Linked DNA regions of Nothobranchius furzeri. The protein of the gene in region 1 purifies or fractionates together with the protein of each later gene. This does not show direct contact. Links are inferred from orthologs where the notes say so. Each region holds a gene or a part of one and is shown on either strand. Other genes may lie near its edges. The genes, in order: gan and nudcd3.

Evidence for each region.
Region 2: the proteins of gan (region 1) and nudcd3 purify together in Homo sapiens (co-immunoprecipitation; 3 studies listed by BioGRID and IntAct, counting the BioPlex papers as one, with this or other methods). This does not show direct contact. The link is inferred for Nothobranchius furzeri from reciprocal best matches to the Homo sapiens genes GAN and NUDCD3.

The regions. Positions count from the first base shown.
Region 1 is NC_091744.1:82,314,252-82,318,072, reverse strand, and holds part of gan (gigaxonin), read right to left. Parts: intron 2,034-3,821; coding exon 1,897-2,033; intron 1-1,896. UniProt on the Homo sapiens protein: Probable cytoskeletal component that directly or indirectly plays an important role in neurofilament architecture.
Region 2 is NC_091746.1:39,650,618-39,655,180, reverse strand, and holds the start of nudcd3 (nudC domain-containing protein 3), read right to left. Parts: upstream 3,105-4,563; 5' UTR 2,942-3,104; coding exon 2,744-2,941; intron 1-2,743. Other genes in the region: mrps24 (small ribosomal subunit protein uS3m), read left to right, coding at 3,634-3,708, 4,426-4,503.

The DNA.
Region 1 (3,821 bases):
CGGTGACGGGGTTAGGACACACTGACGGTGACGGGGTTAGGACACACTGACGGTGACGGGGTTAGGACACACTGACGGTGACGGGGTTAGGACACACTGACGGTGACGGGGTTAGGACACACTGACGGTGACGGGGTTAGGACACACTGACGGTGACGGGGTTACGACAAACTGACGGTGACGGGGTTAGGACACACTGACGGTGACGGGGTAAGGACACACTGACGGTGACGGGGTTAGGACACACCGACGGTGACGGGGTTAGGACACACCGATGGTGACGGGGTTAGGACACACCGATGGTGACGGGGTTAGGACACTGATGGTGACGGGGTTAGGACACACTGATGGTGACGGGGTAAGGACACACTGATGGTGACGGGGTTAGGACACACTGATGGTGACGGGGTTAGGACACACTGACGGTGACGGGGTTAGGACACACCGACGGTGACGGGGTTAGGACACACCGACGGTGACGGGGTTAGGACACACCGACGGTGACGGGGTTAGGACACACCGACGGTGACGGGGTTAGGACACACCGACGGTGACGGGGTTAGGACACACCGACGGTGACGGGGTTAGGACACACCGACGGTGACGGGGTTAGGACACACCGACGGTGACGGGGTTAGGACACACAGACGGTGACGGGGTTAGGACACACAGACGGTGACGGGGTTAGGACACACCGACGGTGACGGGGTTAGGACACACCGACGGTGACGGGGTTAGGACACACCGACGGTGACGGGGTTAGGACACACCGACGGTGACGGGGTTAGGACACACCGACGGTGACGGGGTTAGGACACACCGATGGTGACGGGGTTAGGACACACCGATGGTGACGGGGTTAGGACACACCGATGGTGACGGGGTTAGGACACACCGATGGTGACCGGGTTAGGACACACCGATGGTGACCGGGTTAGGACACACCGATGGTGACGGGGTTAGGACACACCGATGGTGACGGGGTTAGGACACACCGATGGTGACGGGGTTAGGACACACTGATGGTGACGGGGTTAGGACACACTGATGGTGACGGGGTTAGGACACACTGATGGTGACGGGGTAAGGACACACTGATGGTGACGGGGTTAGGACACACTGATGGTGACGGGGTTAGGACACACTGATGGTGACGGGGTTAGAACACACTGATGGTGACGGGGTTAGGACACACTGATGGTGACGGGGTTAGGACACACTGATGGTGACGGGGTTAGGACACACTGATGGTGACGGGGTTATTCACACACTGATGGTGACGGGGTTAGGACACACTGATGGTGACGGGGTTATTCACACACTGATGGTGACGGGGTTAGGACACACTGATGGTGACGGGGTTAGGACACACTGATGAACGTAAAAGAAGATTCAATTAAGTCTAAATTTTGTTTTGTTGCCTTTAAACTCGATTCAAGAACTGTTCTTAGTATTTTATTTATCCATTGACTGATTTTATTTAATTCTGGTTATTTATTTTGAGCAAAGAGCAAAGAGCAACATAATCTCTCTCCATCTCTCTAAAGCCACAAAGGAGGCAACAGGAAACGGCAGAATTAGGGGCGATGACGCACTTTACACTAACACCACAGTAGGAAGGAAGTTCTGTTCCAAAAACCGGTCCTTCATCCTCAGATGAACACATGAACACCTGCTGCACATTTTAAAAACGCTAACATCCTGGGATTTTTGTGCATGCAGGAATGTTTCCATGTCTGGAAATGTGGAGGAACTCATGTCAAAATGAAACTAAGTGATCAGCTCTGGGATTGTGACAGCAACCACACACTAGTGTTTCACTTCCTGTTGTGCATCACACGTCTCTACAGACATAAATGGTTGCATGCTGAACTGTGAGTCGTCTTCTTCTGTTACCTCCTCTCCTTCAAAGGGCACAGGCCCGTCCACTGTTGGGTTTTAGGGTCAAAGCATTCGACGGAGTCGAACAGCTTTCCGTAGGAGCCGCCACCGATGGCATAAATCTTCTTGTTCATGGAGGCGTAGCAGCCGACCTGAAGGAGGAAATGAACCGGTAATGCACATCTTACTGGGAAAAACCCGAAGTATGTCTGTTTCGTATTTCTGATTAGACATTAAAACAGACCAGATGAGACCAAGATCTGTTTAAGTTGTTGTATCTGAATCTTAAACAAATAAAAAATGTACTTTAAAGGGACTTTACGGAGTTTTGAATTTTTATGCTCGCGATTGCCCCCTCAGGCCAAAAGCGTAACGGCAGCTTCAATAGTAGGCTCGTGCACGAGGCGCGCATGCTGTACGTGCACACTCCTTAACGAAAATAAAAGCTGAGACAGTCCTGTGTGTGTGTGTGTGTGTGTGTGTGTGTGTGTGTGTGTGTGTGTGTGTGTGTGTGTGTGTGTGTGTGTGTGTCAGAGGACAGGAGAACGAGCAGCTAATTAATTAAATAATTTGGTTCTGTACCTTTCTCTTCAGCACAGCCGACAAAGGTTTAAGATGGGTCAGTCCTCCTGCATGCTCAGACCATTCCCTTCCCTTGCTTGAAAAATTGTTCCAAAATGAAAGTTGAACCCACATCTTTTTTATCTGTGAATTCAATGCCGTTCGGCGCGTCTCAAAAATTTGGGCATCTTACTGCAAAAAAATATACCATTAATGTAAAAAAGAAACTCTAAATAAACTGTGTTCACACCCAGAATCAAACTCTGGTCTTCTGCATGGGAGTCAGACGTCTTACTATGTGAGCTAAAGCACCAGTGACATCCTTTGTATCTGTAACTTTTATATCCTTGATGACAGCTGAAACAACGTCAAACCAAAGAACGGTTCCGAGCGAAAATGGCTATTTTGTTGCTAATTAGCAGGAAATATCTAGAAGAAAGTTCTACAGAAAGTAGCTAAGGGTCCTCAGAAATGTAGCTAGCTTTGTCACTAGGCGTTAGGAACAGCGACAAAGTGGCACTGCCTCTCTCTCTGCTGCTAAAGCTACGGATAGCAAATGCTACGGGCGATGCCTGAGCGTGAACGCGCATGAAGCAGCCTGCTCGACCCGAGCATCTCTCTTTTTCTGTGATTTTACAGAAAAACAGGCAATCACAGTAAAAATGCCAGAGCTCATTCTACAGGACCAGGGCATTGCAGGAGAATGTATGAAGAAGACATTTATTATTTCTATACATGTTTTAGCTGTCAAACTTCCATTATGTCCCTTTAAAATAATGTTTTGAATTTGGGTTTTAAGTTGGATATAGAATGATACACAGACTCAACGGCACCGATCCCTTTATGCATCCTGCTCCAGCTGCAGCTTTTAGCAGGCTGTCCATCCAGAGGACCACAGCTTTAACTTATTGTGACTGATCTTAGGGCCATCTTAACAATACAAGTTTCCTAGGAAACCGGAGACGGGTTCAAAGAATTTAGGTTTTCGTGTTTGTGTATAGAATAGGATGAGGGGAAAAAAGCATTTCAAGTCACACTTGGCAGTTTTTCTTGCTTTAGCACCCCCTAGTGTCCGTTATTAATTCTCTGTGGTCAAACTGAACTTTCTACTTCTCTCCTTGCTGCGCGCTGATCGTTTTAACTCCTTAATCTAACAGCTGAAACGTCTCCCAGCCTTCATTAGTCTTCAGGAGTGATTCATCACTAAATTAAACAAATCAGCTGTGTTCATGATCTAAAACATGCAGGAAACGTGCTGGAAGCAGCCTGCAGCTCCAGTTTTTTCGGAGTCCAACAGGAGGCAGCCCGCCACTCTGAAGTTGCAAGTGCGGTATTAAGGTCAAAGAGGGCGGTGGGGGTCTGAGTGACATTTCATTGGT
Region 2 (4,563 bases), on another chromosome or scaffold:
TAAGCTCAAATACGGCTCTGATGTGCGGCTGGACCAGAGATCGCTTGTGGTAGCAAAAAACTGCACATTCTGAATATTTTCTGCAACAAGTCTCTAAATAAAGTAAAATTTTCCAGTGCAGATTGGAGACAACCCATAGAAGCACTGATTTGATCTCATTTCAGAGAAAAATAGAACAGGTCAGATGCACCTAATATATAAAATTACTAACAAACTCAGGAATCTTTCTTTGCTTCACTATTCTGGTGCTGAAAATATCACTAATGTGGATCAAAGGAGATACACAGATGAATGCACCTCTTATTATTTGGAGACTACATTTACTGCAGCTGGCAGAGGCAGAGATCGTTTCTATTGATACACGGAGTTTACAGAATCATTTTAAATGTTAATAGGGGAAGACTGCAGGAGGGAGCGGTAAAATACAGGGGGTCCCCAGCAAAAACAAGAAACTACGAGTCTGATGAAACCCGCTGGTTTTCCATCAGCCAGTCACGGGGCAGCTCCAACGACCCAGTGACCGAGCTCAGTCCGGTACCGACACCGGCTCGGCAGAGGGTGAACCAGCCGAGGTGACGTCGTGCTCTGCTTAAGAAGCGGTGTTATTTTCCTGCTTCAGAAGAAGCGTCCAACGTGTTTTTACGCTTTCTCCGAGACATGTCACGTCACTAAGTTGTTAGCGCCGCGCGCTAAGGAAACCCTGCGTTCCTCTTCGGAACGAAAACCTCGTTGTCGCTCAGCCGCGGCGAAGCCATGTTTGTTCGCACACAAATGAAAACAAGCGGGGCACTAATATATTACTATGACTCACTCTGATTGGTTAAGGGTCAAACAAAGGCGTGTCATTCGCCTGAGGTAAGTTCCCTTTTCATTCAGAGGCAGAAATTCAACAGCAGAGCTGTGAATCGTGATAAAACGGTCTCTCAAAAATGACAGACCGTCAGATGTGTAGATAGTAAAACGGTCTACAATCGTCATATCGCCCAGCCCTATGGCTAGATCAGTTTCATGCAGCACTTCAAATATATTTGACTCATTTTACTTTACATCTTTTAGCTTTCACCAGCACATCAGTATCAGAAGTCACATCCTGAGTGGCAGCCAACTTCAGGATGTGATTCAAGTTCTTGTGTGAGCCTTGAGCGCAGCTTTGTTTTATTTATACTCATTACAGAGAAAACTTGCTCACAAGTTCACTCTACCGTTGTAAGGTATGAACATAAAGTTTACACAACCATCTCGCGGGCCGGATTTAACCTGCTTGCGGGCCGGATCCAGCCCGCGGGCCGCGTATTTGACACCCCTGAGATACAGACTCGGGCTGTGCTGCGGTAGCACACGGGTTGCTGAGGTCACTTGAACAAGCTTTCAGGTCAACCAAAGCAAGAGCCGTGTCCCCGTCTACAGCGACAAGTCAAAAGCACATTCATGATGCTGGTTGGGGGGCCTCAGAGTTGGTCGTCGCTAGTCCTGTTGGGGATGTTCATGAACAGAACCTCAGAATGTCATCATGGACAAGAGGATGTCCAGTTTAGGAACGTCAAGATTTCATCTCTGCTTTCTGCAGAGGATGTAGTGTAGGTGTTGGCTTCATGCAAAGACCTTAAACATGCACTGGGATGGTTTAAAGCGGAGTGTGAAGCAGCCAGATTGAGTCAGGTCCTCCAGGTTGGGAGGGAGTCTCTTCCTCAGGCTCAGGCATCCTGGAGTCTTGCTTGTAAGAGGCGGTGGGACAGAGGACGAGGTGGTCCAACGGTTAAGGGCTTTTTCTGTTGAGACATGGCTGCTGTGTCAGCATGTCGTGGTAAAGAATAAGCTGCTGAGCCAAAAGAAAAATATTTCAATTTAATGGTCTGTTTATATTCCAACTCTCAGCTATGGTCACAATATTTGCTCAGCCTTAAGAGATAAGGAAATGATCTCCATCACCCAGGGGGAAGTCAAAGACCTGGGGCTTCTTCATACCTAAACGAGTCAGCCAAAGTGATGTGGGTACCTGACTGGCTCCTGGGAGGTTTTCCAGATAAGTCCCACAGAGAGGAGAATTCTGGACAGACCCAGAACGTGATACATGGTTATTTGGATAAAAGGTAGAAAATAGAAAGATGGATGCATCTTTTAACTTTTCGTATGGAATATTTTAAAAGAGCTATTAACAAAAGTCTGATAAAATATATAAAACTACAGTTTCAGATGACACAGTTAACACTGTGAATGCAGCCTTAGCATATAGAAAACTGAAAATTATCCGTTTTTTTAGGTATGGTGTCCTGGAAGGGACAAACTAAAAATAACTGCATGTGCTTTACACAGCTTTAAAGTGAGGGTTTACAGATCATGTCCTTAGATACTTCTCCATCAACCAGACCGTCATGTGCTGCTGTCCTCTATCCTCCCAGTCTGCCATTATGAACACTTATTCCCCTCCAGTTCTCAGATGGATTTTACAGACATGTTTTATTCGCATGTGATTTAAAGCTAGATGTAGATGTTACTGCTAATATAAAATAGTATGTTGTAACAAATAAGTGATCCATGCAAAAACCTCTCTGATAACCTTTGACCTAAATGCGTTTGAGTCAAAACTTTGTTAAACACAAGATTAGACATTAATTGTCTAATTAGAAAACAATTCTGGTTAACTTTTAATTAAAAAACACATTTTAGAATGCTAAACGAATGCTGAATAATTATTTTTGCCATGTAACAATATAACATGGTATACTGACAGACTATAGCTCACCTTCAGCACCATCTTCTCCGCAACACCTGGGGGGAAGCCCATCCTGTCGCTGGGACCAGACAACAGGCGATAAAAGTCTGTTTTGCGATACAAAAATCCGAAATAAACCTGGAGAAAGTCCTGAACGTTCCCAACGTGCTGAAGGATCCCAAGCAGAGCGTTGTCATACATCTCAGTCATCTGCAGCGGTGACGCCATGGTAGCTTTAAACCTTTTTTAGACTTTACAAAAAAAAAAAAAACTATAAAGTCTTCTGATCAACAGCGAGCGACCAGAACTGAAATGTGGGACTTTAAGACAGAATAAAAACAACAACAACAAATGGTGCCAGCTGAAATTTCTTAGCGACTGTTTCCTTTTCCAGAACAATTCACCGTTTTCCGGTATAGTGCTTTCAAAATAAGTTCCCACATAAAATAAATAACAATGATAATTTATATTTTTAAACCTAGATGGGTTTTAAATGTTTGGAAGTCAAACTAATTTACATTTAAATAGTTATTGAACAATTATTAAAACATATTTCCTAATTATAAAATACAAAAAAACTGTTCTTGTAAACCAAGTTACGTATACAATGATTAAATGTCTAAGCATCATTAGGGCTTAAAATAAAATAAATAAAGCTTTACATTTCTGTGTTTTACAACTAAATGTGACTGTGACGATATTTAAAAAATATTTTATATTAACAATATCCGGTTGGTACAGCTCAGTTGTTGTACGGTAAGAACACAAGTATACAGTAATCATTCCGGACATAGGTAACTTTCGGCGTTTAAGGGGAAAGATCTTTTTTTTATTTACATAGCAAGCTGAAATCATTACGATATTTACATTTTTATTTTTTGATAGCTATAAAAATTATAGTTGGTCTGTAAAATAAACAAATGATAGTAACACCTTCCCTCTCCGAGTTAAACATGGCGGCGTCCTTGACTAGCACAGCGAACGTGAGGCTGCTGGTAAGGAAATTATCTAAAAATGGAATGTTCATTATTGTTATATTGAATTGTGTGTCTCTTTAGACTCAGCGTAACAATAGTAATGCTCTAATCTGGACAATGTTAACTGTTGTGCATGAATTTACTGGTAAACTGTATTTTCTGTTTACCAGATTAGTGTATTTTCAGTAACCGGTATAACTAGTGAACACCTAGCTTTGTTTCAGAAAATTAACTGAAGGAGTTTGAAAATATACATAAAATGTGGAAAGGAACAACTAGATATAAATCCTCGATCTTCAAATTATTGCTCAGGATTACGGTTTTGTTCTTACAGTGATATTTAAGATACTAACAAATTCCACAACTTTTTCCATTTATTCATAGATTTCGTCCTCATTTTTACATCACAGAAATAGTGGCTGGAAAATAGGATATGTGATGTGACATAAATCATTTTAGTCATAGTCACATAGTTATTGTTTTTATGCAACCAATATTGAAATTACATATGTGATTGACTGAAGTCTTCAATAAAAAATAAATAAATGAATAAAGATAACTGGGAATTTGTGGGCAAAATCCTTCATGATTAAGGAACTGGACGTCTGAGTATTTTCAGTTTTTGAACAGAGATCCTACATGTTTAAAATTTTTAACAAGCCTCTAAAATGCTCTCTCTTTTTTTCTGCACATATTACAAACGTTAAATGGTCTGTATACCTGCTTCCCCTCCAGAGTTCCTTTGCTTGGTCCAGCTTGTTGAGCGGCCCAATAGGAAGCAGAAGCCTCCATGTAACAGCTGTATGCTGCAAGGTAAACTTTATTCTAAACACATCAAGCTGCATCAATCATCTTTGCCTGATTTATGTTATT